Stegostoma tigrinum: one gene and its partners. The protein of the gene in region 3 interacts with the protein of the main gene of each other region in a pairwise test. Links are inferred from orthologs where the notes say so. Each region holds a gene or a part of one and is shown on either strand. Other genes may lie near its edges. The genes, in order: dtx2, ubiquitin-associated and SH3 domain-containing protein B-like, fam168a and ubiquitin thioesterase OTUB2-like.

The links.
Region 1: the proteins of fam168a (region 3) and dtx2 interact in binary tests that used the Homo sapiens proteins (3 or more experiments, as listed by UniProt). The two-hybrid records come from large-scale screens. The link is inferred for Stegostoma tigrinum from reciprocal best matches to the Homo sapiens genes FAM168A and DTX2.
Region 2: the proteins of fam168a (region 3) and ubiquitin-associated and SH3 domain-containing protein B-like interact in binary tests that used the Homo sapiens proteins (3 or more experiments, as listed by UniProt). The two-hybrid records come from large-scale screens. The link is inferred for Stegostoma tigrinum from reciprocal best matches to the Homo sapiens genes FAM168A and UBASH3B.
Region 4: the proteins of fam168a (region 3) and ubiquitin thioesterase OTUB2-like interact in binary tests that used the Homo sapiens proteins (3 or more experiments, as listed by UniProt). The two-hybrid records come from large-scale screens. The link is inferred for Stegostoma tigrinum from reciprocal best matches to the Homo sapiens genes FAM168A and OTUB2.

Annotation. Positions count from the first base shown.
Region 1 is NC_081380.1:9,059,884-9,067,587, reverse strand, and holds the start of dtx2 (probable E3 ubiquitin-protein ligase DTX2), read right to left. Parts: upstream 3,352-7,704; 5' UTR 3,230-3,351; coding exon 2,890-3,229; intron 1-2,889. UniProt on the Homo sapiens protein: Regulator of Notch signaling, a signaling pathway involved in cell-cell communications that regulates a broad spectrum of cell-fate determinations.
Region 2 is NC_081385.1:4,780,361-4,787,900, forward strand, and holds the start of ubiquitin-associated and SH3 domain-containing protein B-like, read right to left. Parts: upstream 3,587-7,540; 5' UTR 3,317-3,586; coding exon 3,189-3,316; intron 1-3,188. UniProt on the Homo sapiens protein: Interferes with CBL-mediated down-regulation and degradation of receptor-type tyrosine kinases. Promotes accumulation of activated target receptors, such as T-cell receptors and EGFR, on the cell surface.
Region 3 is NC_081359.1:91,583,080-91,591,652, reverse strand, and holds the start of fam168a (protein FAM168A), read left to right. Parts: upstream 1-5,132; 5' UTR 5,133-5,246; intron 5,247-8,573.
Region 4 is NC_081363.1:25,975,821-25,983,740, forward strand, and holds the start of ubiquitin thioesterase OTUB2-like, read right to left. Parts: upstream 3,162-7,920; 5' UTR 3,142-3,161; coding exon 3,028-3,141; intron 1-3,027. UniProt on the Homo sapiens protein: Hydrolase that can remove conjugated ubiquitin from proteins in vitro and may therefore play an important regulatory role at the level of protein turnover by preventing degradation.

The DNA of each region.
Region 1 (7,704 bases), on a different chromosome or scaffold from region 3:
CACACTGGAACTAACCACAAGACTCCAAAAACTGCTGGGCATCAGGGTGGCACACAAGCCCACATTAACCCCACGACAACTGCTCACCCAAACTAAAGACCTACTCCCCACCAAGGACAGGACCAATATCATCTGTAAGATCCCCTGCAGAGATTGTGAGAAACACTATATTGGACAAACAGGAAGGAAACTAACAACAAGGGTACACAAAAAGACATGACCAATACGCACTCATCGCAATCCACATGGATAAGGAGAACCACCAATTTGACTGGGACAACACCAAAATCCTGGACAAGCTAAGCAGCGTCGGGCACAGGAATTCCTAGCAGCCTGGCACTCCACAAAGAAAGCCATTAGTAAATACATAGAACTCGACCCCATATGCACTCCACCTCGAAGGAAAACTGCAAGTGAGACAATCCAGCTCAAAGGACTCCAGAGTTTAAAAACCAGGTGGGAAAACACATCGACACTTCATCTGAGGCTGCACTGCATGGTAACGAAACGCCTGCGGAACAACAAACTAGCTCGGCGAGCCAACCAACTTCAACAGGGAAATATGCCTGGAACCCTAGACAATATTTATCCTTCGCTACCAGCAAAATTAGTAGGCCATCTAATTTTTGTTTTTGGGATTTTACTACAATAAAATGATGAGTCAAGGCCTGCAGAAGGGTCAATGGGCTTAAAATGTTCACATTTTCTCTTCATGGATGCTGCCAGATCACTGAGATTCTCCAGCAATTTCTATTTTTTGTTTGTCTGTTGTGTTTGGCAAAAACATTTAAGTACGAAAAGTAATGCAAAGAACTTTGGGATTTATGTGATATGAAAGTTACTACAAAAATTAACATTCTTGCAATCTAATGCAAGACAGGTCTCAAGTGTTAAAGAAATCCTTTAACATTAACTGAATGTACTGTTACGGTCAAATTACTGGTCTTGTTAATCAAACTCATGGGCAAAAACTCCAACACATGGAAAAAGCCTCCAACACAACTAGAATTTAACAAAATACATGGCAGCTCATGTTAAAAAAAGTCAATAAATCCAAAGTGTTCAGGTCCAGATTGTATTTCAGTTTAAAATAGAAGTCAAAATCCTAAAGTAACTTTATTTGCTCTCTTTTCATCCACCCAAAGAAAGCCTGTTTGCATAATGCTCTGCAAAACTGATTCCTTTTTTCTCTCCTGTTTCAATAGACAAGCCAAATAGATTCTTTCCTGCCAGATTTCAATATCAAGATGAAGCTGTAGAAAGTTTCTAAAATTGAAGACCAAAAACTGCAATTTCAACATAACAATGATGTCTGAGGGGGCATTAAACTTTCTTGACAGCCAGCTTTAAGGTCATAAACACCTTCAGTTTTCTCGTCATGCATGAACAATCAACAGTCCCAATGTGGAGGAGCCACTGACAACTTTGTGAAAGCTCATCTTTACTTCATGTGTTTGACTCATTTCTCACGTTAACTTTGCAAAGTCTAGCTCTAAAATCACAAATGAAACATGGAATCTTATTTTTGACTTGAGAAAGCATACATTTGTCTTGCTTCTTTTCAGACTTGAAAAAACCTGAAAAATGAATCATTCCAAACTACAGTAAGTTAGCACATTTCCACAACACGCAGAACATCAAAACTTAAAGTCAGTGCTAAGACCCCAATTTCCCTGAGCCACAGTTGCAATTATGGGAAGATATCAAAGATAAAGTTCCAACTATCTTTGTCAATGAGCTCATTAAAAACAAAGTCAGCATTTGGTGCCCATCCCTTGTCATCCTTGAACTGAGTGGCTTGCTAGGCCATTTCACAGGGCAGTTAAGAATAAACCACACCGCTGTTGATATGGAGTCACACGCAGGCTGGGTCAAGTAAAGGTGGCAGGCTTCTTTACAAAAAGCAATTAACAAACTACTTAGGTTTTTAAAATAATCGAGATTTGTCTTATTGGCATAATCAGTTTTTGAATTACTTAAGTGAATTTAAATTCCCATTGCTGTCATGGAATTGGAATCCATTTCCCTGGAGCCAAAGCCTGGGCTTCTGGGTTACTAGTACCTTACCATCTCCCCTTGAAATAGAGAGAGAGGGGGAATCTGACAAATATATACCCTAATTACAATAGCAACTATTACCAAGGTATTGAAATGATTAGTCTCACAGTTAAATATTAACAATTACCTATGTTAGTTTTAGTAGCCTAAACAAACTGTAGTGCTGCAGAAAAATCTTTTAACCTTAATATAGTATGGCTAATATTTGAGAGAGAGTAGGAAGTGCAGATGCAAGAGAATCTTAGATAACAAGGTGTAGAGCTAGATGAACACAGCAGGCCAAGCAGCATCAGGAAGGTTGACGTTTCGGGCCTAGACCCTTCTTCAGAAATGAGGGAGGGAACGGGAGTTTTGAAATAAATAGGGAGAGAGAGGGGGAGGCGGATAGATGGATAGAGGAAGAGGAGAGAGACCGATCAAAGAGGCGGGAATGGAGCCAGTTAAAGGTGGGTGTAGGTGGGGAGGTAGGGGCGGAATAGGTCAGTCCAGGGAGGACAGGCAGGTCAAGGGGGCGGCATGAGATTAATAGGTGGGTTGCTTGGCCTGCTGTGTTCATCCAGCTCTACACCTGGCTAACGTTTGATTTCTTTTCGGTGATATTAGTTTTTGAAAACACTGTTTCTTAGTCAAAAAAACCTCGGGCTTAAATCGGCAAAGCAATTTACAGAAGAAATGCAAACATTTTAACAAATAAATCTGCACCTGGAGCAAACATTTAGGACGACTGAATGAATCACTGATAGCAACACCAAAAGTGAAGCTGAAGATTGTAAATAATCAGTATGTGATTAAATCTTGCTGACACTTTTGAGAGCGAGGGGCTAGTCTTACCAGTGTCTTGTCGGAACTGGGTGAGTGTGGGGATATCGATGATGTAGGGAGCCAACCTGGGCTCGGCCTGGCCCAGGGAGATGCTGTTGATTCCTTTAGCTGTCGCCGCAGCCGCTCCCTGCAAATGCTGGAGGTTGCGCTCTATGTGCTCGCTCACCCGGCTGCTGTAGGGCCTCCAACGACCCGCCTCGTCTTCCCACTCCCACACGGAGACCAGCGGACCCAGGCCAGCTCCTGGGCCCGACACAGAGAAAGGGGTGACCGAGAAAGCCGAGCCACTGGCACCGAGGCCCCCTCCTCCAGCAGCTACCCCGCCATTTCCGACGCCCTGACTTGCCATCCTCGTCCTCTCTAAAGTGGATTTACGAGTTTGTATCGGCTACAACAACAAACACCGAGAACTTTCCGATTCAAACTCCTCCCTCTCACTGTTTTCCTCGTCTCCAGGGTGTCAACGCCAGCGCTGCCTTCTGGGAACTGTAGTCCTTTCCGGCCAACAGCGCCGGAAGCCTAGCTGCTGTTTCACTAGCTGTGAACAACAAATCCCATGCGACCCCGCTCCAGCGAGCGCCCACTCTTGACGGCTGGTGTCAGGTGCGAGTCGAGAAATGAAACTTGGTAATAAACTTTTATCGGAATGATAGTGTATATCTGGCGGGGGAGACTTAATTACACAGGCCACATAAAGTGAACTCTGTAATTATAAACATCACCAAGGTTTCAGCAATACCCACGTGTAAAAACAAAATGCATAATCATTGTAAAACACAGTGCTGGAGAATTATAAAACTCCCAACAGTCATACTAAACGCGAAACGTTAACTTTGTTTCTCCTTCCAAAACCAGAGTTTCTCCAACACTGTTTTTATTTCAAAATCTCCAGAATCCGGGTATTTTGATTTTATTTGAGTGCATAATCCACTTGGCACGTTTAGGAATGAATAAGCGAACCGCTGCTCCCATTTGTCTACTTTATTTCATGCTCCTGTCAACGCTGGTTTCGCAGACGCACATTCAATTCGGGGTCATGCTAGAGCACAATAGAATAATTGTACAGGGCTGATGGGAAAATTCGTGTCCGGAAGATTATTTCTAAGGCAAATTATCATTTGGAATGAATGCTGCGTTCACGAAGACAGCACAGACTGGTACAAGGGGTAGTAGTAACATCCTGGTAAATCCAGTCAATAGGTGCAAATACATTTATTTCTCTCCCAAAAACTTATGAAACGATGATGAGAATTAGACGAGTTATAAATCTGCAGGGGTATTTCTTTTAAATCCGATATTAAATCAATATAGCGTCATTGTGGTACAAAGAAACATCTGGGATTTAAAAAAAGGTAAATCCACCTTCGAAATTGACTAGTGTTTCATTTAATTGTATTCTGTGCAGTTTTTTTCAAAATCACCACCTTATTTTTCTTAAGTGGTGCTACGTTCACTTAAGCAGCTGTATTATCTAATTATTCCAGCCATATGCATTTCAGATCCTTACACTAATTCAGTGTCTTTTTAAAAAATACGTGTCTCTGCTTCTATTTATGGTACCATACTTCAGAACTACTGTGGTCTTTTAGCTGGATCTCTTAAGATTTACCTTTGCAAACTTGTCAATGACCACAACATTCCAAATGGTTTACAGTGAATAAAGGATCTTTTAAGCAGTCACTTTGATAATGTAGGAAATGTACAGCCGTTTCCACACACCAGGTTCCCACAAACAGAAGTATCATAATAATGATCTCTATTGTTAAGGATGTTGAAAGGAAAGAAAAGTCAGAACACAGAGAGAACATTCCTGTTCTTTCCATGGGACAATGGGAACTTTTACTTGAGATGATAAGGCGACAATTTAAAATCTGACTAATTGGGGGAAAAAGCCTCACAGTACTATGCTTGATGTGTCAATTCAGATTACGATTTTCAGAGTGAAATTTAGACCCACAACTTCTGAGTCAATGAGGAAATTGTTACAGTTTGAGTCATGGCTGGTTTAAACTTACATCCTTTTTAGCCCACTCAGGCAGGTTGAGATTCCGCAGCATGAGATGTACATAAGAAAGTTTTAATGCTTTATATAACATTTACTTCTCAAATAGCAGCTTTATCTCAAAAAATAATTTTTATTCATCTCATTGTACAATTTGGGATCTTTCTGCGTGCATTTTGATGTCACATTTACCAACAAAAGTATGAGGGTCCTGTGTTGTGGTGTTAGTGTCACTATCTGTGAATCAGATGGTTTGGGTTCAAATTCCATCTGCCCTGCAAATGTATTACAGCATAATTTGGCTATAAAGTATTTTGACATGTCAAGTGGACCTAAATAACTCTGTACAGTGCAGTTCTTTTAGAATTTGTGTAATTATTTTTAAAAATCAGTGTGCAAAATAAAATTACAGTGAAAGGAATAGGCCTAAACAGGGAAGTGATGGCTTGGTATAATTATACTAGACTATTATTCCAGAAACTTAGCTAATGTTCTGGGGACCTGGGTTCAAATCCCACCACAGCAGATGGAGGAATATGAATTCATTTAAAAAAATACTAGAATTACAGATGTAATAATCACCATGAAGCCATTGCTGATTGTCAGAAAAATTTGTCTGGCTCACTAATGATCTCCAGGGAAGGAAATCTGCCATCCTCACCTGGTCTGGCCTACATGTGGTTCCAGACTCACAGCAATATGGTTGACTCTTAACTCCCCTCTAAAATGGCCTGGCAAGCCACTCAGTTCTTGGGTGGTGAGTAATGACCAAAACTATGTCCCATGAGTGAATAAAAACAGTTCTAGAATTATCTTTTCTATGTTCCCCCTCCCTCAAGGGATAACATTCTGTTTGAGTTTCATGTTGAGACCATTTGTGCAATAGAAAGCAAATAAACCTAATTACTCAATATTTCATTATCAAACTTACTATACCCCAGTGGTTTGCTGTGATGGCCAGGAGCTGGCTACAAGATTGGTGATCTGGAAAGTAATGGTTTTGGCAAGGAACTGGCAGAGACAAAGGGGATAGTGACCAGATGAAATCAAAGAAATGTCCAGTAGTAAAGACAGGTGAATGGGAAAGACAGAGAATGACTTCAAAACGATACAGAAAGAATACCTGTAATTTTATGGGTGGCACGGTGGCTCAGTGGCTAGCACTGCAGCCTCACAGCGCCAGGGACCCAGGTTCGATTCCAGCCTCGAGTGACTGTCTGTGTGGAGTTTGCACGCTCTCCCCGTGTCTGCGTGGGTTTCTTCCGGGTGCTCCGGTTTCCTCCCACAGTACAAAGATGTGCAGGCTAGGTGGATTGGCCATACTAAATTGCCCGTAGTGTTTAGGGGTGCGTGGGTTATAGGGGGATGGGTCTGGGTGGGATGTTTCAAGGGGCGGTGTGGACTTGTTAGGCCAAAGGGCCTGTTTCCACACTGTAGGGAATCTAATCTAAATTGACCACAGTGTTCAGGGATGTGTAGGTTAGGTGGGCTATAGAGAGTATGGGTCTGGGTGGAATGCTCTGAGGGTTGGCGTGGACTTGTTGGGCTGAAGGGCCTGTCCCCACATTGTAGGGATTCAATGATTCTTAATAACTTATCTTAAACAAAGTTAAATAAATATTGACTTCAAGCAATATAATTCAGCAGAGACATCTAGAGGTGATAGCTCACAACTACAAGCAAACAGCTTTATTTTGTGATAATGGGAACTGCAGATGCTGGAGAATCCAAGATAATAAAGTGTGAAGCTGGATGAACACAGCAGGCCAAGCAGCATCTCAGGAGCACAAAAGCTGACATTTCGGGCCTAGGCCCTTCATCAGAGAGTCTAGGCCCAAAACGTCAGCTTTTGTGCTCCTGAGATGCTGCTTGGCCTGCTGTGTTCATCCAGCTTCACACTTTGTTATCTCAGCTTTATTTTGTACTTGCTACCTGATGAGAGTACGATGTGACAGTTTGCGGGACACTCATAAAAGTGCCTTGTGTTGCTCACTGATGTGTTGAAGCCTCTCACAGGGAACCTCTATTGTTGAAAGAGGACAGGGATGAAATGTCACATCAGAAGGTTGAAGGACTAATTCCCCAATATCTGAGAATCCTTGATCAGTTGTCCAGCGTCACCTACAATATTTGATGTGTATATTAGTTGTAGTAACCCACCATTAGGATTAATAGTATTAACACAGTAATAAATATACATTAATTGTAAAATATAAACAAAGTATAACATGTCAAACATAAACATTAATTATATAATTAACATTCATAGTTTACATTTTAATTATTAATAAAGTTAATGATATAATTTAGGATAATTTATTTCCCAACCGCCAACTGAAATCCCTGGTGATTGTGCCCGCACGTGTCCTCGAACAGTCCAATGAACCCTGGCCCCGTACAGGCAGTGATAGTCATGTATGGCAAAAAGCTGGACGGGAATTATTGTTCCAATTCACCTCTCTCCAAATACTTGAATTAGTTCCAGTGTCAAGGATATAGTTAAATGTGAGATGTCCCAAGTGAAGGACATAAATCTCTGAATTCCAAAGAACTGTACGAGGGTGTTGTTCAATTTAAGCCATTTCAATAAAGCTGAAGTGAACAGCTTTAGATCCTGCAGTCAGTTCCAAGATTGCTTGGTCTAGATGTTTACATTTTATAACTCTTTCATTCCACGCAGTTTCCAATGCTTTACTATCATTCTCAAATTGAACTGTAATACAAACTATCATAGTTTCTTGGTCTTTTCTTGAAGATCAGATTCCAGTTTCCATAGCGATCAGTCTGTCATTCAACCGCAGCTCATTGTATGTCATCCATCC
Region 2 (7,540 bases), on a different chromosome or scaffold from region 3:
GTTCTTTGGAATAGTGACATGGGATTTTTAAGGTCCATCTGAGAGAGCTGTCTGCAGAAAATGTATTGCTTAACTCCATTCATATCCTGCCCTGCCACCTTCATTGACATTGTATTTAATATATGCCCAGGTCCCCTTGCTCCTGCACCCCTTTTAGAATTGTATTCTAATATATTTTCTATGTCTTCTTATGTTCTACGAAATGCATTACTTCATACCTCACTGCATTAAATTCTTCTGTGAAACAATCATCTGTTTCACCAGTTTATCTCCAGCCCCTTGAAGTTTATCACTGCCCTTCTCACAGTTCACAATCCTTCCAAATTCTGTGGTCATCAAGATGTGCACATCCAAGTTTAGATCATTCATAAAGATCAAGAAAAACAGTGATCCTACTCAACATTCTCTAGGGAACCCTACTCAATACTGTCCTCCAGTCCAAAGAACGTGCATCTGTACATGCTCTTCCCTGTCACTCAATCAATTTCATATCCAGGCTGTCACTATCGCTTAAACTTCATAGGTTTCAATTTGTTGACAACACTAATGCGGCACTTTATCAGAAATCTTTTGCAAGTCTCCATACATTACATCATTGTATTGCTTTAATCAGCCCTCTCTGCTAGCTCAAAAAAAAACTAAATTAAAAAAATTGAAAAACTGGGAGCGACCTGATTGCTCAGCGGTTAGCACTACTTCCTTGCAGTGCTGGGGACTTAGGTTCAATTCAACCCTTGGACAACTCCACCCACTGTGTGGAGTTTGCACATTCTCCACATGTCTGCATAAGTTTCCTCCCATCGTCCAAAGATGTGCAGGTTAGGCAGGTTGGCCATGGGAAATGCAGGGTTACAGGGATAGGGTAAGAGTCTGGGAGGAATGGTCTTTGGGATGGTCAGCATGGACTCACTGGCCTGCTTCCACACAGTAGTGATTGTATGATTGTACCTTAGTTAAACAATGCTGCCTTTCTCTAAATGCCTGCCTGACTGAGATCAGGAAATCATTGTATGGGAACAATTGACAACCACCCCCCTCCCCCAGAGTAAGAAATCAGCTCAGCATTGATGCAGCCAAAGTCCTAATAGGATATCAAATCCTGCAGAAGTTCTATGATTGCAGCTTCACATCCCCTGTTACAACGGACGATACACCAAATGGCAAAATAATGAAAACAGGCAAATTCAGGTTAATAGAGTGGTCATTGTACCCAACAGGGAAGCTGGTAAGGCTGATGAGCAGGCAAAAAGAAATCCTATTTCCACAGTGGTATCAGAGATAATGGGAACTGCAGATGCTGGAGAATTCCAAGATAATAAAATGTGAGGCTGGATGAACACAGCAGGCCAAGCAGCATCTCAGGAGCACAAAAGCTGACGCCCGAAACGTCAGCTTTTGTGCTCCTGAGATGCTGCTTGGCCTGCTGTGTTCATCCAGCCTCACATTTTATTATCTTCTATTTCCGCAGTGGCTGTTTTATATTAAATATAAAAGTGATTCAATAATTTTAAAACTGAGGGATTCCAAGGTAGTGCCAGAAGTTGTAGAAAGACAGGTTTGTTCCTTCTCGCGAAGGCAAAATCATTTGTTTTCAGTTTTCCACTGAAATAAATCATTGGTACAGTCACAGAATGCAAGCTCAAAAACTGGTAACATTGCAAAAGCAGAATCTGACTTTGTGGCAGAGTGAGACCATTCAGTCGATCTTGTCTGTGCTGAGTCTGAAAGTTATTCAATTAACCCCACTCTCCTGCAGTTTTCGCCCCCTCCAGCAAGCATTTATACAATTCTGAGAATTGCAGAATCTGCTTCTATCACCTTTTTTAAGATAACACATTCTAGATCATAAGTCGCTACATTTCAAAATGTTTTTTTTCCGGAACTCCTCTCAGCGCCTTTGACCCAAATGATAACTCTGGTTACTGACTCCTGCTAGTGGAAACAATGTCTTCTCATTGTGGTATGTGGAGTCAATGTAACTCCCCAACAGAAGTTCTCCACTTGAGGAGAATTATAAAAAGTTGTGGTATTCCAGAAAATTGCAGGTGCTGCAGGGAGTGGAGAGAAACATTGTGTATTCTTTTTAAACTGAATTTTAATATAGAGAATATTAGTGCAGGATGTCAACGCGTTGTTCTGTAATACAATTCTTTAAAAAAAAAGAGTAAAGGAGCCTTTCTGTGCTCATGGACTCAAACTATTTGCTTTGGAAAACCATGTCTAGTTGGGGAAAAGATTTTGCCGCATTCACCTTTTTAAGAACAGCTTGCAGGGAGAGGGAGAGAGAAAGCGGCTTTCATTAGTGGTTTGAGAAAACAGTAGAGTGCACAGGATTCTATGTTCATTCTGGACCGAATGCAGAACCAACTCATTGTAAAAAAAAGAACAAATATATTAGAAATACGCAGGGGGTTCATGAAAGGTCATCGAGACCTGAAAATGTTCACTCTGCTTTCTCTGCACATATGCAGCCGGGTCTACTAAGTATTTACAGCATTTTCTGTTTCGCTTACAGCAATATGTTTGCTTTGTTTTCCTGGAAAATTTAGTTCCCTCGATTTTAAAAAAAAACAGCTTTCAAAAGCAACCCCTTAACCAAAAAAAGGGAGGTGGAGGGGGAGGGGGAAAGGAGTGTGATTGAAACAGACATATCCCGAATTGGGAAATCCTCACAGCCCCGGGACTGCACACTTCTCAAAACCTTTCTGCAGCCTCTGGGTGACCGGCAATAAAACTGCAACGGAGCCACTCCATTCGGTTCCAGAACAAACCCGGACCATCACCCACCTTCCTGCCTGCAGGCCTTACATTGCAGTTTTGTTATTGTGTGTGTGTGAGAGAGAGAGAGAGAAAGGGTGAGAGAGCAGCCAGTTTATATCTTATTTTTTCTTGTATTATATACGACGGGAGAGACAGAGAGACTGTGAAATGATAGCCTGTCATATGCCACACTGAACACTGGGCGTTTTTAGCGAACACTATTCCGTTTTAAACATGTTTTGAATCTCTAGGCCATGTGACAACTCCCTTCTCAACAATGTAGCAAGGTCTGTTACAGAAAGAAACGTTACATCAAATGGAAACACGGTATCAGAGCCAGCGCCATTTGGATACAGTAACAATGTGGAAGCTACAAAATAAAAAGAAACAAAGAAAGAAATAGATACATCTTAACTCATCCAACTTACGCCCGGGTTTTAGGGAATCCCATTGATAAAAAGACCTCGAGTGTTGACCCATGTTTAACGGTCCCGGGTCGGTTCTGCCTATTCTTTCGGGGCACAACTTTGCTGTAAAGCTCTTCTTTAGAAGCCATGGTATGCGAGATTAAAGTGCCATTCCAGACAAATCAGTCCCCGCATCTACAGAATGCAGACAGCGTCTTTCACACAACCACAGCTCAAGAGCGTAAAGGATCGACTTCCTGGTACATACACAGGGTCTAAAGTCACTCAGGCGATATTCACTTCAAACACACGTCGGAAGTCCAACCATCCCCTTGTTAAAATATTACACAAGCGGGCATGGAAGTAGCAAAGAAACGCTGCTACTGTAGCACTCGAACTGGAGACTTCTCTGTAACTGGCTAATTTATGAATGGGTCAGGGACAGTATAAACAGCTTCCCTCCCTTCCTCCCTTATATGGAGCTCCCAACCCACGCTGCCGGATCTGGATCTCACAGAAAAGTTCAGGAGCATTAATGAACTACCTACCTATCCAATAAGGCATGAAGTTTTTATTTAACGAATATTTCCTGAACTATTCCGGATGAGTTTATTAACAGTTTAATGCTATGTAATGAAAGTTTTTCCATACAGTTTTCAATTGTTAATTGGGGATTGAGCTCACGGAAACTGCATCAATAGTGAGTTTTCAAAATGAAGTGTCTGAGCCTGAGAGTTCAGGTCCCATGCCAGAGATTACAGCACAGAGTGCAGCGCTGAAGGAATGCTGCACTTTGGAAGGTGCCATTTTTCGGATGAGGTGAAATGTGAAACGTGAGGCCTGGCCTACTGTCTCAAATCCCAAGGCACTACCTGAAAAAGAACAGGGTAAATGTCTCTGAGATAGTAGGACCTGCCGATGCTGGAGAATCTGAGATAACAACGTGTAGAGCTGGATGAACACAGCAGGCCAAGCAGCATCAGAGGAGCAGGAAGGCTGACGTTTCGGGTCTGGACTTCAGAAATCTGAATTTCTGATGAAGGGTCCAGACCCGAAACGTCAGTCTTCCTGCTCCTCTGATGCTGCTTGGCCTGCTGTGTTCATCCAGCTCTACACCTTGTTATCCAGGGTAAATGTCTCTGGTGCTAACAACATCTGGAAACAGCTTGTGACCAGTTTGGTTGCCGTTTTTCTCACATTGCTACAGTCATAGCATTTTGAAGGCGCTTTGTTTATTCATTCATGGGTGTGGAGTGTCGTTGGCCAGCCAACATTTACCTGCCGGTCCCTAGTTACCCTTCAGCTTCCTCTTGAACCACTGAAGTCCATGTGCTGTAGACAGTTTCATAATGCCTTTAGAGAGAGAATTCCAAGATTTTGTCCAAGTGACACTGTAGGGATGGATATATATTTCCAAGTCAGAATGGTGAGTGGCTTGGAGGGGAACTTACTGCTAGTCGTGTTCCCAAATATCTGCTGCCCTTGTTTTTCGAGATGGAAGTGGTTATGGGTTTGGAAGATGCTGTCTAAGCAGCATTGATGAATAATGCATTGCATCTTGTAGATAGTGCACATTTCTGTTACTGAGTGTCTATGGTGGAGGGAGTGAGTGTTTGTGGATGTGGTGCCAATCAAGCAAACTGCTTAGTCCTGAATGGCTTTGAGTGTTTTTGGAGCTGCATGCAAAGTGTGGAGTATTCCATTAGTAATTGATGGAAAGGCTTTTGTGAGTCAAGAGGTAAGTTACTCTCCACAGTATTCCTAGTCCCTGATCTCTTACTTGTTGTTAATTGCTTGTTGGGTTGTGAGCATTATTGCCACGACTAATATTTCATTGCCCAGTGCTGATGGTCTTTGAGAAGACAAGTGATGACTCTGAGGGATCACTAAAGCTTGGGGCAGCCGCCACAAAGGTGTAATGGAGATAGCTGGTGGATTAAAGCATCTTAACCATAGTGTACCAAGGGATTAAGAACTGCAGAAATCCTTGGGTTGTGGCCTTTCAAAGAAAGTAATTGTAAATCAAGAGAAATGACAATATATTGAGGCACCTCAGTATAAACCATGGTGGATTGAGGATAATTGTACATCTTTTACACTTTCTGTAATTTCCCATCTGAATTGTTTTCATACCTGGGCAGTATATCTAATGTGGAATGCATTTTGTAAGTATTAAATTTATTACAGTCATATTGAATGCAACATGTTGTATTTCCAAGTCACAATAATTTTGTAAAATCTTTACAACTTTTATGAATAAAGTATACTTTTAAGGAATATAAAAGATGGTGGGGAGTTGCCTTTGTGATCCACTGCAATCTAGGTGATATAGGTACAGTGCATAATTTTGACACAGCAACAGTGAAGAAATGGTGATATAGTTATGTGTCATAGAATTCCAAGCCAAAATCAGAAATTGCTGAAAAAATCCTGGAGGTCTACAGAGAGAAAGCAGAATTAATGTTTCCGGTCCAGTGACCCTTCCTCAGAACGTGGTTATTGATGTTAAATTTAAAATCCACCAGGGCCATTCATTATAGCCTTGTGCAAACATGAACAAAAGAGCTGAACTCCACAGCAGAGGTGAGAGTGATTCCCCTTTACACTAAGGCAGCCCGTATTAATTTATGGCACCAAGGAGCCAATGGTAATTGAGGGAAAACTCTTTATCATGTGTAGTCATTCCTCACACAAAGATTGTGGTTCTCAAAGGTCAATTAGCTGAGCAGTCAGACATCATTGTAGGAGTTTCTCAGGTATGTGTCCTTGGCCCAACTTTCTTCAGCTGCTTCATTAATATCCATCCTTTCAACATAAGGTCAGAAGTTGTGATGTGCAATCACCAGTGAACAATGTTCAACACCATTTGCAATACTTCATAACCTGAAGCAGTCCATATCCCTGTGCAGTAAGATTTGGACAGCATTCAGGTTTGGGCTGATAAGTGCCGAGATATAGTCACTCCATACAAGTGCCAGGTAATTACCAATCCAAACAAGAGAGGATCTAAAGATCTTCGCTGGATATTCAATGGCATTACATTTGCTGAATCCCCCACCATCAACATTCCAGGGGTTGTCATTAATGAACAGTTGAACTGGACCAGACATATAAATACTGTGGCTATGAGAACTGGTCAGAATCTCAGAATTTTATACTAAAAATACCCCAAAGAACGGCAAAAGCTGTAAATCAGAAACAAAAACTGAGTAGGTTTGGCAGCATATGTAGAGAGAGAGTAGAGCTATCATTTTGGGTCCAGTGACCCTTCTTCAGAACACAGAATTCCTTCAATTCCCATTCACACCTCTTTGCTTGAGCTCATTGATGCCATAATTCAATGAGGTTATAATTGCTTAAGTGTCGTTTGATATCACCGTCTAGAAGGAAAAAGGCAACAGATACATGGGAATACCACCATGCAAGTTCCCGTCCAAGACACATACTGATAAGACTGCAGCAATTTTGAAAAGCAGTTCATCATCATCTTCTCTTAGCAATTAAAAATTCCTAATACGTAGCCCAGCCATCAAAACTTGCATCTCATTTAAAAATACAAAGAAAAATTGTTGGTGATACCTTCTATGGTTTTGCTGATGATTCAGAGGGGACTGATGGAGTGATATTTGGCACAATTGGAATTTCCTTGCTTTTTGTGGACAGGACATACCTGGGTAATTTTACCAGGAATACAAACTGGAGGGCCATCAACTCGGTAAAAGACCACCTGAAACTTGGTGTGCCTGAAACTTGCTGGTCTTCTAGTACAAAGGCTTGCCCTTGACTGAGTGATGCAGACTGGCACATTCCAAGGTTCAGGACTATGTTCTGAGGGGTGTACTAAAGCTTGGAACAGTCATTACAGAAATGCAATGAGAAAGACCAGCTTCTAAGACCCTTTAGCCATTGTGTAACAAGGGGCTGGATTCCCATAGAATCCCTCAGGCTGGATGCTTGTGGCTGGATGCATAGAGTAAATGCCATGTGTATTTCAATTGAATTGAGTCAAAAGAATTCAATGGAGAAAAGTCTAATTTTAATGCAGTTTCAATAATGTCAAATTTGTAATGCTTTGAAATATATTTTTAAATATTTTATGAATAAAATGCATTGTTGCATGAAGAAAATCCATATTGTTGGGTAGATTATCAGTGTTGTAGCTAAACCAAAGCAGCTTGACTAGGGACACAACTACATCTGGAACATAAACTTCAGTACGATTGCAAGAATATTGTCAGGGTCCAGAGCAATATCCAGAACCTTCAGATGTTTCTTGATGTCACGTAGAGTGAATCGAATTGGCTGAAGACATGCACCTGTGATGCAGGGAGCCTCTGTAGGAGGCTAAGATGGATCATCCATTCAGGACTTCT
Region 3 (8,573 bases):
ACATTAAACACTCCAGGGATATTTGCAAATTGGGAGGTTGAATGAAGAGGGGAATCTGGTTAAATCTTTTGGCATTGTCAACAAACATTCAGGAAAGAGCATGATTGTCTACCAAGGAAATTCAATGTCTTTGATCATGGACTCTGTGGATCATTGCATGGCTGATGAGTCAGGGAGGTGGAATTGGGCTTTGGCCTTGAGATCATTGGTATTTCTTTCTCTGGTTCCTTTTCTATGTTTCTATTGCCAATGGGGGTTCTTGAGGAATTCTGTCCCTTCATTCAGGATGTTCCTCCAAATCAAAATATTTATTCAAAAACAAGGGTCTCCGTCATGTTGACATTTATGTTGCATTTCTTAAGGGAACCCTTCAGGGAGCCTTTGAAAGGTTTCGTTTGTCCTTCTCTCATTCAACTGCCTTCCCAATCACTAGAAAAGTAGTACTTAGCAAAGTCATGGAGCTGTGAATAAGTCTCTGGGTCCTGATGGATTTCATCCCAGGATCTTAAAGGAGCTCAGTAATGAAGTAGTAGATGTGTTGCTGTTAATTTTCTCAAATTTGTTACATTCTGAAAAGATTCTGTCAGTTTGGAAAATAGCAAATATAATCCCTCTTTTTAAGATGGGAGGGAAGCAGTTAACAGGAAATTAAAGGGCAGTTAGCATGTCATCTATTGTGGGGAAGGTGTCAGAATCGATCATTAAGGAAGTTATAACTGGGCATTTGGAGAAACTCAGATAACTGGGAAGAGTCAAAGAGTTGTGAAAAAGAAATCATGTTCAACCAATTTATTGGAAATCTTTGAAGAAATAACATGCACTATGGATAAAGGGGAATCTGTTGATGCACCATGCCTAGATGCTGAGAAGACATTTGACAGGTTTCAATATGAGATATTGCACAATGCAGCAGCTTGTGGTTATAGACTTCCATATTAGCAAGGACAGAAGGTTGGCAGACTGGTAGAAAACAAAAGAATGCATAAATGGATCTTTTTCAGATTGGTATGTGAGGAGTGGAGTCTCACAGGGATCTGTGCTAGGCACTCAATTTTTAATAATTTATCTCAATGATGTGGATGAGAGGATCTAAGGCATAGTGGCTAAGTTTACATAGGACAAAGAGATAGATAAGAAATTATGTTGTAAAAGTGACAAACAAAGATGTGGACCAATACAGATAGATTTTAGCCCATTCAGATGCAATTTAATGTGGGGAAATGTCATTGTTCATTGACAGGTACTTAAATGGAGAACTGCAGAACTCTGAGGTACAGAGAGAAATATGTGCCGTGCTGTAAAACTGACAAAAGTTAGTATGCAGGTACAGCAAGTAATCAAGAAAGCCACTATTGGAATGGTATCCATAGAAGAGTAGTTCTGAACTGAACATAACGTCCTTACCTTTGCATAGGGTATCAGCGAGATCGCAGCTCAAATACTGTGAGCAGCTTTGGTTTCCTTTTTAAGGAAATATGCAAATGCAACAGAGAGGGTTTATTAGATTGGTTTTTTGAATTAATGGATTGTTTTATCAGGAAACATTGGTCAGGCTAGGCTTGTTTCCACTGGAGTTTGGATTTGACTGAAGTGTATAAGATCCTGACAAGGCCTTTGTTGTGCAGTAGTAACATTCCAACGTCTGAGCCAGGAGACCTGGATTCAAGTCCCACCTGCTGCGGGGTAGTTAATAACATCTCTGAACAGGTTAATTTTTTAAAAAAATCATGACACAGTGGACACAGAAAGGATTGTTCCTCTTGAGGTGAGTCCAGAACTAAGGCATGCTTTTAGGAAAGAAATAGAACATAGAACATAGAACAGTACAGCACAGAACAGGCCCTTCAGCCCACAAGGTTGACTCATTTCTCTCAGATAACAAGGTGTACAGCTGGATGAACACAGCAGGCCAAGCAGCATCAGAGGAAAGAAAGAACAGGAAAATTGATGTTTCAGGTCTGGACCCCTCTTCAGAAATTGGGGAGGGGAAGGGGACGCTGAAATAAATAGAGAGTGGGGGGGGAGACGATGATGGAAGGTGGATAAAGGAGCAGATAGGTGGAGAGAAGTCGGGCAGGTCAAGGAGGTGGGGATGGAGCCAATGAAGGTGAGTGTGGGTGGGGAGTTAGGATGGAAGTTGATCAGTTGAGGGAAGACAGACAGGTCAAGGAGGCGGGGATGAGGCTAGTAGGTAGGAGGTGGGGTTGGGGTTGGCCAGTGAGGTGGGAGGAGCGGAAAAGTGGGAGAAAAGACGGACAGGTCAAGGAGGCAGGGATGAGCTGGGCTGATTTTGGGATGAGGTTGGGGGTGGGGAGATTTTGAAGCTTGTGAAGTCCACATTGAGATCATTGGGCTGCAAGGTTCCCAAGAAAAATGTGAGTTGCTGTTCCCGTAGCCTTTGGGTGGCATCATTGTGGCACTAGAGGAGGCCCAGGATGGTATGTCATCCAAGAAGTGGGAGGGGGAGTTGAAGTGGTTTGCAACTGGGAGGTGCAGTCGTTTGTCACAAACCGAGCATAGGCATTTCACAAAGTGGTCTCCAAGCCTCTGCTTCGTTTCCCCAATGTAGAGGAGGCCATATCAGGAACAACAGAATACAATATACCATATTAGCAGATGCGCAGGTGGACATCTGTTTAATGTGGAAGGTTTTCTTGGGGCCTGGGATGGGGGTGAGGAGGGAGGCGTAGGGGCAGGTGTAGCACTTCCTGCAGTGGCAGAGAAAAGTGCCAGGAGTGTTTGAGCTAGTGGGGAGTGTGGAGCAAACAAGGGAGTCACAGAGACAGCGGTCCCCCCAAAAGGCAGATAAGGGTGGGGAGGGGGAAATGTCTTTGGTAGCGGGGTCCGATTTCCGATGGCAGAAGATGAAGTGTTGAATCCAGAGATTGGTGGGGTGATGCGTGAGTATGAGGGGGATTTTGTCTTTGTTGTTATTGTGGGGAGCGGTTGTGAGGGATGAGTTGGGGGAAATGTGAGACATGCGGTCGAACGCATTTTCGATCACTGTAGAGGGGAAATTACGAATCTTGAAAAACGAGGACATCTGAGATGTGTAAGTGGAATGCCTCACCTTGGGAGCAGATATGGCAGAGGCGAAGGAATTGGGAATAGGGGATGGCATTCTTGCAGGAAGGTGGGTGAGAGGCGTATTCCAGTAGTTGTGGGAGCCGGTCGGCCTGAAATAGATATTGGTTTCCAGGTGATTGCCAGAGATGGAAACAGAAAGGTCCAGGAAGGAGAGAGAGATATCAGTGCTGGTCCAGGTGAACTTAAGGTTGGGGTGGAAAGTGTTAGTAAAGTGAATGAACTGTTCGAGCTCCTCATGGGAGCATGAGGCTGCGCTGATACAGTCATCAATATAACGGAGGAAGAGGTGGGAGACGGGGCCAGCTGCGGAAGATGGACTTTTCCATGTGTCCTACAAAGAGGAAGGCATAACTTGGATCCATGCGGGTACCCATGGCCACTCCCTTTGTATGAAGGAAGTGGGAGGAGTTGAAGGAGAAGTTGTTAAGGGTGGGGATGAGTTCGGCTAAGCAGATAAGGGTGTCAGTGGAGGGGGACTGGTCAGGCTTGCGGGAGAGGAAGAAGTAGAGAGTCTTTAGGCCATCTGCATGGGGACTCCTCTGATGCTGCCTGGCCTGCTGTGTTCATGAAGCTCTACACCTTGTTATCTCAGATTCTCCAACATCAGCAGTTCTTACTATCTCACTTCTCTCAATAAGATTTGCACTGCTCTGTTTTAAAAGTTAACAGAGGCAGAAGTAGGTAGATAACATTTCTGCCACTCAAATGCCAGGCAATACCATTTCCAATAAGAGACAATCTAACCACAACCTCTTGACATTCAAAGGCATTACTCTCTCTGACTCCTCCTCTATAAACACCATTGAACAGAAACTTAAGTGGACTTGTCATATAAATAAGTGGCTGCAACAGCAGGCCATTGGCTAGAAGTAATGCAGTGAGGAATGTCCTGATTCCTCAAAGCCTGCCCACCATCTACAAAGCATAAGTCTAGATTACAGTGGAATATTCCCTATTTGCCTGGATGATTGTAGCTCCAATGACATCCTTCACACCACTCAGGATAAAGTGGCCTGTTTGACTGGCAACTCATCCACTCCCTACACCATTGGCACTGAGTAGCATACTACATACAGTACATAGTGTACGGGAAATTTGCCAAAGATCCTTAGCGAGTTCCAAAATGGCAACTACTTCCAACTAGAAAAAGACAAGGATAGCAGCTATACGGGAACACCACCACAGCAAGTCCCCCTCAAAACCACTGAAATATATTAGATAACAAGGTGTAGAGCTGGATGAGCACAGCAGGCCAAGCAACATCAGAGGAGCTGGAAAGCTGACGTTTCTGACAGACCTTATTGAGAGAAACGTCAGCTTTCCTGCTCTTCTGATGCTGCTTGGCCTGCTGTGTTCATCCAGTTCTACACTTTGTTATCTCTGATTCTCCAGCATCTGCAGTTCCTACTATCACTGAAATATATTGCTATTCGTTCCCTTGTCATTGGGATGAAATCGTGGAATTCCCTCCCTTACAGTATTGAGTCAACCGACTGCAGCCGTTCAAGAGGGCCGCTCACCACCACCCACTCAAAGGCAACTAGGGACAGGCAATAAATGTAGGTGCAGCCAGTGATGCCCCTGTCCCAAAACAGAATAAAATCTTACTCACGGGAATCAAAGCTTATCGGGCGAAGGTGAGAATGTGGAATTCGCACCAGCCACGATCTTACTGAATGGTGCAGGAGAACCTGGTGAGCCGAAGGGCCTACTTCAGTTACTGAATCGTGAATTCTGTCTCTACCTGAATACCTACAAAGATTATCCGAAAGGTTTAAAACCGCGGAGTGGCACTCGGAACACAAAGACGATTTTGAGGAAGTTGCCGGGATGTTTAGCGAGAAGCCCAGACAGCAAGTAGCCACATCCTTATCGGACACAACTCCAAAAAGTGAAACCCCCGGAGAGTGTAACGCTCAATCTGTTCACAGTGACTGACAGTTGGAGCTGAGGGGGCGGGGCGTAGCGTAATACGGACTGCGTCATGGCGAGTGGCAAGAGGCTGGGAGCGTGTCGGGCGTGGCGTCATGCCGTTGTCCCCGCCCCTCTCAGCCAGTTGGGTTCGGTTTGTGAAGGAGCCTGAGCGGAACGGAGAGGGAGAGCAATATACACAACAGGCAGGCAGGCAGGGAGGGAGGTGCTCGGTCCGGTACTTACTGGTAAGCAGCACCTTTTATCCCCCTATATACATGTACACACACCAGCTTCAGCACACCTTTATGTTTAAGCATTAAGCTGAAAAGTGTATGTTCATTATGAGGGTTAGGGAGGGGACATGGAGTAGAGGCAGAAATAAAAAGAGGTTTTCTCTTAAGATGGACGTTTTTTTTGTGAGTGAAATCTGCGGCTTGATTGCGGCAGGGCTGATTCCCTCCCCTCCAACTTTAACTAATGAACTATTGGTGGCGGTTGTGGGGGAGGGAAGAGCTGCGGAGATTTATTTGTTTGGGGGAGATGGTGGATTGTTTCTGTGTGGAAGGGAAAAATAGTAATCATAAAAATGGAGGTTTGGCGTTGACTGACTTTTGCTGCTTGGCTTCCCTTGCTCATTGACTCCTATTCCCAGATAAGATGAAGAGTTTTTACTCTCTCTCACCTCAGGAATGCAATGAGGCGCGGAAATAACCGCGATTTAGGAAATAAATTGAAATTTTCAATTTTCATGTTGGAGTCCAATTTTTATGTTTTAATAAAAAAATGTTCGTTTAAACGCATTTCAACTTTTTAAGTTTTTAAAATGTTCTTTCCCTAACACTGCCACTCAGTTCAGGCAGCAGTAATTTCTTTCTCCATTCCGTGCCTTTTCTCCAATCTGTGGCAGGTCCAACTGGAAGGGATAGTTGTTCCTTTTTTTTGTTTTATTTTAAAATGGACGTTGTTAGTTTACTTACAGACGCATGGTTGCATCTAATTGAACTAAAAGCGTCCACCAGTTCAGTGTCGATGAATGACCGTTGATGTATCCAGTCGTTCATTTGGGATTGCTTTCTTAGTCCTCAGTCCTCTTAAAAAAAACTAAAAATGCGAAAATGGTCGCGATCGTTCTGCTGAGACGGAGCTGCAGACGCATAGCCATTTTTTAAAAACTGGTCATATGGTGCGATTTTTAAAATCGGTTTGTACGTGCAGTATAAAATCGTGTGTTTTGAATTTCGAAAAGGTGCTCGCACTTTTAAAATCCTTATTTGTGTTGTGTGGAAGCATGATACGAATGCTCAAAATGGACGGGTTATGGCTGCTGCTTGTAAGAGCTGAAAGGCATTAAAATCATTTTTTTTGGATGAAGGCAACTACATTTCAATGCGTCTGCTATTCGGCGCATTTGGTCTTCCCCCGCTAATTTGTCCCTTTTTGAATATTTAGGATAGGCTTTCATAAACTCACGGGGCAGTTTGCATTGATCTTTCGATTGTCTCTTGAGCCTAAAAATTCCTTCAGTTTTTTTTTCCTTATTCTCTGATGCAAGTGCGTTAACTCTCACGTCAATCCGGATTTTTTTTTGTGTATGTATTTGCATTGAACTGTCAGAAGTTTACCCCGGTTTCTTTTGAGCGGATCCTAGGTCGCTTCAAAAGGAGGAAAATAGTTTGGAATTTTATTTTTAGTTAGAAGGTTTCCAGAAGAGTTCTTGCGCTATAGTGTTGATGTGCTGTCAATCCACAAAGAAAACTATCACCAACTTTATGTTGTGTACAGTATCGCATCTGGGCTTGGCATGTTTGTATTAATTTTTTTTGGGCTTGTGATGTATTTTTCTATGACAAGGCTTCAATAAATGTGTTCACTTGATTCAGTATTTGGGTAATTGGCCAAAATGGTATTTTGTTGATCATGCGTAAAACCGTTTGCTTCATCAAATTAATTTTTTTGCTGCTGGCACTTTTCTTGAATCAAGTTTTAGATTGTATGCAATTTGGAAAAAAAATCTTACTTTCAGCTATTTTGTTTTTAGTCAGCTAGCCTAAATTTGTGCATATCTCTATTAAATATAGAAATCCCAGTAAGAAAATGTAGGTTGCTAGTTCTCAGTCGCTTGCCAGTTTTTTATGATCATTTGATGAGGCATACCCTCTAGAACAGACTAGCTGCTTTCAGGTTAAACCTCACAACCAGCATTCTGAGAGGTATTCACTGTTACAGCATACTAGCTGTAGCAGTAGATACTGCCCATTTTCTCTACTCTTCACCTAACTGATGCAATTTGTATATATGTCAATCTGTAATTTGTCAGAAATTACATTTCCCTTAATCATTTTACATTGAGTTGGCACACAAGAATGCATGTTAGTGAAATATGTGGTAGATTCAAATTTCTTTGCAACGTCAGATTCATTTTTAGACCAAATAGATTTTTACATTTATTGCAGGACTATCTGGGACAATTGAACATGTTGGAAACCTGCCTTATGAATCTAGCACCTTAGCACCACAGGTCTGACAACAATCTAGTTGGTGTTATTTGTAGCACTGGTCTTTAATTGCAAAAGTTGGATTTTGTTTCTTGGCTTGTCCAGGCTCTCTCTCTCTGGCATGGATCTTTCAATTACATGGTTGCAATTTCGTATCAAGAATGGGAGTGTTGAGTTGAATGTCAAGTTTGTGACCTGGAAATGATCTGAACTAGATTTATTGAGAACTGTCGATGTTGTGATTGGTTATGCTGAAATTGGTTAAATGTAATATTGCACCTAATTCTGTGGGCGTGTATGCCTTTCTTTTTTTTTAAACCCTCAATTATGTACATAGGTTTGAAGTCCAAATGCCATTCTAAACTGATCAATATGTAGGAAGATTATTTAAGGACTATAAATCACCAGACTACTTTGCGATTAGAGTATAAGTTAGCATTAGTGTCTGCTTTCATAAATTATGCAAGGTATGTGCAGATTGGTGAAGTTGAATTTGTGTGCTGTGCACACAGCATTATGTAAGCAAACAATTAAATGAGTGACATAACTACTGTGGGTAACAATAATTTCATCTCATTTTATTAAAATGAGAAATTTTAAAATTCACATTTAAATATTTGTGATCTTGCAATAATCCGATGTTGCATAATGAAAGTGCACCTTTGAATTAACTGTCACCCCCACCACCATTCTTCAACCCAAAATTGGCTGACTTGGCTTGGTTTGATGGTGCTGCCCCTGTACGACTTGGTATAGGCCATGTAGCCGAGTTACTGAAGTGAACATAACTCCAATTTACTTATGTAGTGGAGAATATCTCTGTATGCAAAATAAAACAAAAGAACTGCAACAGTTTGAGATCTGAAATGCACAAAAACAGAACCTACTGGAGAAACTCAGCAAGTCTGACAGCTTCTTGGGAGAAATCAAAATTAATGTTTAGAGTCCAGTGTTAACTCTGTTTTCCTACCAGATACTGCTGGGCCAAGTGATTTCTCCAGTTTCCACACAAATTTCTCCAGTAATTTCTCTGTGTTATGGCTCTACACAGTTCTTCTTCAGTGTGTATGCAAATAC
Region 4 (7,920 bases), on a different chromosome or scaffold from region 3:
GCATTAACCATTGAAGATGACAGGATTTCACAGAAATATTAAAGGATGCACAGGAAACAGGATAATGCCTTTAAAGAATAATAAAATGAGGGGTTGGTAGAATATAATGTGCAGGCCATCTTCATGAAAAAGTAGTCAAAAAACTACATTAATGAGCATTTTCATACCATTTAGAAATAGTCTTTAGAAATAATGTAAAGCAGAATTTCTTTTCCTAAAGTCCATCTATTCAGCATAAATGCTGGTTATCAGAGATAAGACGACCACAGACATAGGAGCAGAATTAGGCCATTTAGCCCATTGCGTATGTTAAACCATTTGATAGTGGCCAATAATGTTTCTTAACCCCATTCTCCTGCCTCCTCCCCATAACCCTTGATCCCCTTACCAAAGAAGTACTGATCTATCTGTATTGACCTCCACATCCCTTTGCAGCAAAGAGTTTCACAGATTAACCACATTCTGGTTAAAAAGATTCCTCCTCATCTCAGTTCTAAAGGGTCATCCCTTCACTGTGATGTTGTGCCCTCATGTCCTAGTCTCACCTATTAGTGGAAACATCCTCTCTGTCTACTTTATTCAGACCTCTCAGTATTCTGTAAGTTTGACTCAGATCCCCCCACTTATCCTTCTAAACTCTATTGAGTACAGACCCAGAATTTTCAAACACTTGTCATTTGACAATCCCTTCATCCACAGCACGATTCATGTAAACCTCCTGTGCACCCCCTCCAATGTTAGCGTATCCTTCCTTAGGTATGGGGCCCAAAACTGCTCTCAATATTCCAAATGCAATCCGAGCAGAGCCTCAAATAGCTTCAGCAGTACATCTCTGCTTTTGTTTTCTAGCCCTTTTGAAATTAATGCTAACATTGCAACCACCTTCCTAACTGCAACTGAAAGGTTAACAAAATCCTGGACTTGGGCTCCTAAGTCCCTTTTCTACTTCAGGTTTCCGAGGCTTTTCCCTGTTGAGAAAACTGTCTATGCCCTTACTCTTCTTACCAAAGTGCATAATCTCACACATTCGCACAGTGTATTCTGTCTGCCATTTCTTTGCCCAACTTCCTAGCCTGCCCGAGTACTTCTGCAACCTTCCTGCTTCCTTTACTACCTGAAACCCCACTTACCTTTGTGTGATCTGAAAATTTAGTAACAATATCTTCAGGTCCTTCATCCAGATCATTAATGTATAACATGAATTGTGATCCCAACACAGACCCCTGCTGAATTCCAGAAGTCACCAGCTGCCAAACTGAAAAAATAGCCCTTTATCCCATTTCTGTCAGTCAGACAATTCTCTATCCGTGCCAATACCTTGTCCCTATATCACAGCCTCTTCTCTTATTTCGTAGCCTCCTGTGTAACACCTTGTCAAGGCCTTCTGGAAATCCAAATAGATCACATATACTGGCTCTCCCTTGTCTGACTTCAAAGAATCCTCACAAATTTGTCAGGCATGACCTCCCCTTGAGGTCAGACTAACCAGCCTACTGTTTCCTACCTACTGCCTCCCTCCCTTCTTAAAAACAATGGTGTTACATTAACCATTTTCCAGTCCTCTGACACCTTCCCTGACTCAAGTGATTAAGTGTAGAGGTCACCACCAATGTCTGCCCAATCTCCTCCACTTTCTCCTTCAGAACTTTGGAATGTAGTTCATCTAGCCCAGGCAATGAGCAAGTCCAGGTCTGGTTCAGACCTTTCACCTTTCCTCGCACCTTTTCCTCAGTGATGGCCACTACACTCACATCTGGCCCAAACTCTGTCAAAGTTTAAGCATGCTGTTGGTGTCTTCCACTGTGAAAACAAATGCAAAGTACCAATTCAGTCTCATTTTCCAAGGATCTCATGTCCGCTCTTGCCTCTCTCTTAACTTTTAGATATCTTAAAAAACCTTACCATCTTGTTTTATATTACTAGATAGCTTACTCTCATATTTCATCATCTCAAATAGCTTCGGCAGTACATGCTTTTTAAAAGGCTTCCCAGTCCTCAGGCTTCCCAGTAATCTTTACCATTCTATGCTTTTTCTTATGAAAGCGAAAGCAAAAGTAAAAGGCATACAATGTGGTGGAGATGAGTGGAAAGTTTATCAGAAATCATTCTTTACTGACCAGTGCATCTGCGACCTGAAGAATAAATTTGAACACAGCACACCTATATTACAATGTACAAAGAATCCACGAGATTACAAGACATCAGTTTTAGGGCACGGGTTGGAACACCCTGAACTACTGGACTTTGGTTTCAAATCCTCATTGGCAATCCTAGTGAGAGACTGCAAGAAGGTGTGAAAAATAGAAATTTCACAATGGCTGATATTAGGATTTTGGGATATTATTGGAGTCTTGATCTAGAGCAAGAATTTGAAGGGATACCAAATGAAGCATTTGTAAACCCCGAAACAACACAACATTTGCTTTGTTAATACAGCATCACTTAATTAACAAACTGTATAATACAAATAAAAAGAAAATACATCATTGATCCTGACCACCAAAGCAAAGTGTGCATCAAGTTCATGATGTGACTTCATCAGCAGACCTGAAATGTTAACCGTCAATCCACAACTGCTGCCAGACAGACTGACATTTCCATCAGCACTCGCAACATTTGGAGAAATTATGTTATCTGCCCACAACACATTTCCCCCTAGTTTAGCGAAGCACATCTCACCTTAAATTCTCACAACTTTTTGTAAAACTCCTGCACAATTTAAAGACAAGCATATCTTTTAAGTTCACTGCTTTACAGCAGACGGGTGAAAGCACAGAAAGGACATATATCTTGGTCAGCAGAACTGGTTACGTTTTCCCTAGCTTGGTGTTGTGACAACGGCATCTAACCTACAAAATCTATCGGGGAGTAGTGGCCAACAACCATCCTGTTTCATCCCAACCCATCAATCCTGTAGCATCCATTCTCAAAACCACCCTCCCCCAACCATGCTATGGGATTATGTTTAACTGCTCACAGTGGCAGGAAGGTGGGTGGGGGTAAGGAGAAGGGAGCGAAAGGACGAACCCCCAGACTTACTGCACCATCCATTGCACCCACAGTGGAGGAGAAAGAGGAAGGGTGAGCACTGAGCTCCTGCCGTGCACTGAGATGCAGCACGGGGCCCCGCGATTGACACATTGCTCAGGGGTGGGACGTCACCTAGCTCCGCCTACCCCGCTGCCGGAAGTGACGCGTGACATGTCACAAGCGGTGGCCCCGCCCCCACGCGGTAGCCGCCGTTCCGTTGCTTTCAGGCGGCGGCTCAATCAGGGCAGCGTACTCCGAAGGTTGAAGACGGTAGCCCAATCGGAGCATCGTGCGCCTGGGGGAGGAGGCGGAGATCCAAACAGAGCGAGGGAGAAGGCTGCAGTGAAAAGCGTGAGCGTGGGAGGCGGTTTGATCAGTGCAGAAGGAGGCTGGGGGGCGGAGGTGTTCCAATTGGTGCAGCAGCGGGGTGCGGTGCCTTCATACAGTAAGGGGGGGGGGGGGGGGATGTGGTCCATTCAGACAGCAGGAGGCCAAGTGGGGAGGCGGTCCAATCAGAAGGCCGGAGGGCGAGGTGGGGGTGAGGCGGTCCAATCAGACGGCAGGAGGGCGGGGGAGCGGTAGTGTACCTGGAACAACGACAGAAGTTGCTGGAAAAGCTCGGCAAGTCTGGCAGCTGTGAAGATAAAAAAAATCCGAGTTAACGTTTCGGGTTCGGTGACCCTTCAGAACTTCCTCAGTGCCCCTGGTTCGTGCTCCTCGGGCTGTGGGCCGGGTGGAGGTTCAGGTACCACGAAGGTAGTGTCTGGCGCACTCTGAACTCATTGCAAGCTGGTGCGTTTGCTGCCCTTTGACATTGTGGATGACATTTGAGCGGCAGTTTTAAACCCTGTTTAATTCGTAGAAACATTGAAATAGGAGGAGGCCATTCGGCCCTTCGAGCCTGCTCCGCTATTGTTCACAATCATGGCTGCTGGTCCAACTCAATAACCTAATCCTGCTTTCTCCCCATAACCTTTGATCCATTCGCCCCAAGTGTTATATCTAGTCGCCTCTTGATACATTCAGTGTTTTGGCATCAATTAGTTCCTGTGGTAATGAATTCCACAGGCTCACCACTCTTTGGGTGAAGAAATGTTTCCTCATCTCCGTCCTAAATCGTCTCCCCCGAATCCTCAGATTGCGACCTCTGATTCTGGACACACCCACCATTAGGAACACCCTCCCTGCACCTACCTTCTCCAGTCCTGTTAGAATTTTATAAGTCTCTATGACGTACCCACTCATTCTCCAGAACTCCAGCCTGGTAAACCTTCGCTGCACACCCTTGAGTGTATGAGGATCTTTCCAAAGAGACCAAAACTGTTCACAATATTCTAGGTGTGGCCTCAACAAGGCCCTGTACAACTACAACAACACATCCATGTTCCTGGACTCGAAACCTCTCGCAGTGAAGGCCAACATGCCAGCTTACCTTCAGCAACTGGTGCACAGTCTCCTCTCCCAATTTAAAGCCATTCAGGTAGTAATCTGCCTTCTTGTTTTTGCTTCCGAATTGATTGGCGTCACAGTCATCCAAATTATACTGCATGTATAATGATCAATGTATCAAAGTATGTGCATGGACAAGTTGGACAGAAGAGTCTGTACTTCTGTATTCCTCTATGGGACTAAGTGGATGATGCAGGTTGTATTGTAAAGGAACTTTCTGAAGAAGAATTATATTGCACTCAATGTCAGTTCTGTTTTTCTCTTCACAAATGCTACCAGACCACCTGAGTTTCTCCAGCTTTTTCTGTGTTTTTTCTGATTTCCAGCAGCAGCAGTATTTATTAAAAGAGCGAATTAAATATGGCATTAGTGAGTGAGAAACAGAAATGGCTTCTTCACTAAAAGTATTGAAGCATGAAGGTGTTTTCAAACTAAAAATCATAACATTTACTAACTCGTCAAAAAACTAGCAAAGGAATTCAATGAAAAACTTATAAGTGAGAATATAAGGAGGTGGAATCCACTTTGTAGACGATGTCTGAGGCTAAATGCACATCAGAATAGGGAGCTGCTGCTGGTCTGATATTGAGGAACGTGCGTTAAAATTGTCTTCAATGGTCTTCAAAATTGTCAGAATCGTCATCACCCTATAATCACTTAAGTCTACTACAATTTCAGAGTTTATAAGACTTTCCTAAAATATCAGTGAATATCAGAAACAATTATTTTGCCAGAGATGTTGAGAGAGAGTACTAAAATTCTAAAGGCTCTATGGTTCAACTTGCCAGAATGTGTGTAGAAGCTCAAGCTTGAATTTTTAAAAATTCAAAAGGAGTTAAAATGAAGCTGGAAGATTTACCTTGCTCGCTCCAGAAGGAAGATCTCCAGTAACATTCTCACTGCAAAGATGTTAGCGGGTAGATGAGGGAAAAAATACAGAAGTCTCAAGAATCATTTGGACTGATTCTGGGGGCACTGAATGTCCATTTAAAAGACAGTGTTATGTGTACCAATGAAGTGTTTTTGCATTTAAAACAAGAAACGTATTACTCCCTGCATTTTGAAGTATAAGTTGTCAACAGTGATAGTGTTTAATTACTCAGACTTTCAGCCTTTTCATTATAGTGAACATCTTGAACCACATAGTATTAGAGTACCATCCTTTCAATCATTAATTGGAAATTCATATTGCTTTTTAAAAGTTATAAATACATACCAATATCCAAATATATGGCTCAAATCCAAATATATGACCCTAAGTCCAACAAAGATTTCAAACAGCTAGTTGATGTAGACATTTTATGGGACAAAGCAGCTCAATGTTGTAACAGAAGACCAAAATTGCTAAGATACCACCTCTGCTAAAAACTACCAGGTTGTGATATATCATGATTAGAAAGTGGCAAAAACAAATTGTATCCATGAAATCACATCAGCAACATAGATGGGACGCCTATGAATTTTGATTTGCCCTACATTCAATCCGTAGAATGCAAAGATGCAAATTCATCTCCAAACTCTGAGACTTAGGACTCCGCTCGTCACTCTGCAGCTGGATCCTTGAATTCCTGACCCACAGACTGCAATCAATAAGCATAGTTGTCAACACCTCCTCCACAATAATCCTCAACATCGGTGCCCCTCAAGGTTGCGTACTCAGCCGCTATACTCCTTATACAAACGATTGTGTGATCAAATTTGCTCTAACTCTATTTACAAGTTTGAAGATGTCATCACTGTAATAGAATGTCTAGGAGTTAGGACATCATGTTGCAGCTATTCAAGACATCGGTGAGGCCACTTTTAGAATACTGCATGCAATTCTGTTGCCTTCTATAGGAAGGATGTAGTTAAACTTGAGAGCATGCAAAAAAGATTGACAAGGATGTTAAATGTCCATTGTATCCGGTGTGGCTTCCTCTACGTTAGAGAAACCAAGCGGAGGCTTGGGGACCGCTTTGCAGAACACCTCCGCTCGGTTCGCAATAAACAACTGCACCTCCCAGTCGCGAACCATTTCAACTCCCCCTCCCATTCTTTAGATGACATGTCCATCATGGGCCTCCTGCAGTGCCACAATGATGCCACCCGAAGGTTGCAGGAACAGCAACTCATATTCCGCTTGGGAACCCTGCAGCCCAATGGTATCAATGTGGACTTCACCAGCTTCAAAATCCCCCCTTCCCCCACCGCATCCCAAAACCAGCCCAGTTCATCCCCTCCCCCCACTGCACCACAGAAACCAGCCCAGCTCTTCCCCTCCCCCCACTGCATCCCAAAACCAGCCCAGCCTCTCTTTGCCTCCCTAACCTGTTCTTCCTCTCACCCATCCCTTCCTCCCACCCCAAGCCGCACCTCCATCTCCTACCTACTAACCTCATCCCACCTCCTTGACCTGTCCGTCTTCCCTGGACTGACCTATCCCCTCCCTACCTCCCCACCTATACTCTCCTCTCCACCTATCTTCTTTTCTCTCCATTTTTGGTCCGCCTCCCCCTCTTTCCCTATTTATTCCAGAACCCTCACCCCATCCCCCTCTCTGATGAAGGGTCTAGGCCCGAAACGTCAGCTTTTGTGCCTCTGAGATGCTGCTTGGCCTGCTGTGTTCATCCAGCTTCACACTTTATTATCTTGACAAGGATGTTGCTGGGACTAGACGGTTTCAGTGATAGGGAGAGCTGAATAGGCTGGGGCATTTCTCCCTGGAATATTGGAGGCTGAGGAGTAAGCTCCTAGAGTTTTATAAAATCATGAGGGGCATGGAAAGGGTAAATAGCCAAGTTCTTTTCTCTATACTGGGGGAGTCCAAAATTAGAGGGAATGAGTTTAAGGTGAGATGGTACAAATTTAAAAAGTGGCATCTTTTTCACGCAGAGGGTGGTGCTTATATGGAATGAGCTACCAGAGGAAGTGGTGGCGGTGGGTACAATTACAACATTTAAAAGGCATCTGGATGGGACTGTGAATAAAAGAGGTTTAAATGCTGGCAAATGGGACTAAATCATATTGGGATGTCTGGATGGCATGAATAAGTTGGACCAAAGGGTCTGACTCCATGCTGTATGATTCTATGACTCTATATTTCAGGCACTTAGAGATTGTGCAGGAACCTGCTTGAGTTACAGACAGGGTTAGTGGGGTATTGGCGGGGGTGGGAGGGTGGTGGGGAAAATCTTGTTATCTTGCTGCAAACTCCATCCTCTTAAGTACTGCCTCCACCACTCTCTCCATAGCAGCAATCTCAGGTGTTTGCAGCCTTTCCATCTCGTGGATCACAAGATGCGCTTCCAATCACATGTCGCTGTACCGTTGATCCGAAATATTGTGGATGCTGGAAATCTGAAACAAAGAAAGAAAATGCTGGAAAAATCTCACTGGTCTGGCAACATCTGAAGAGAGGGAAACAGAGAATGTTTTGAGTCTGATATGATTCTTCTTCAG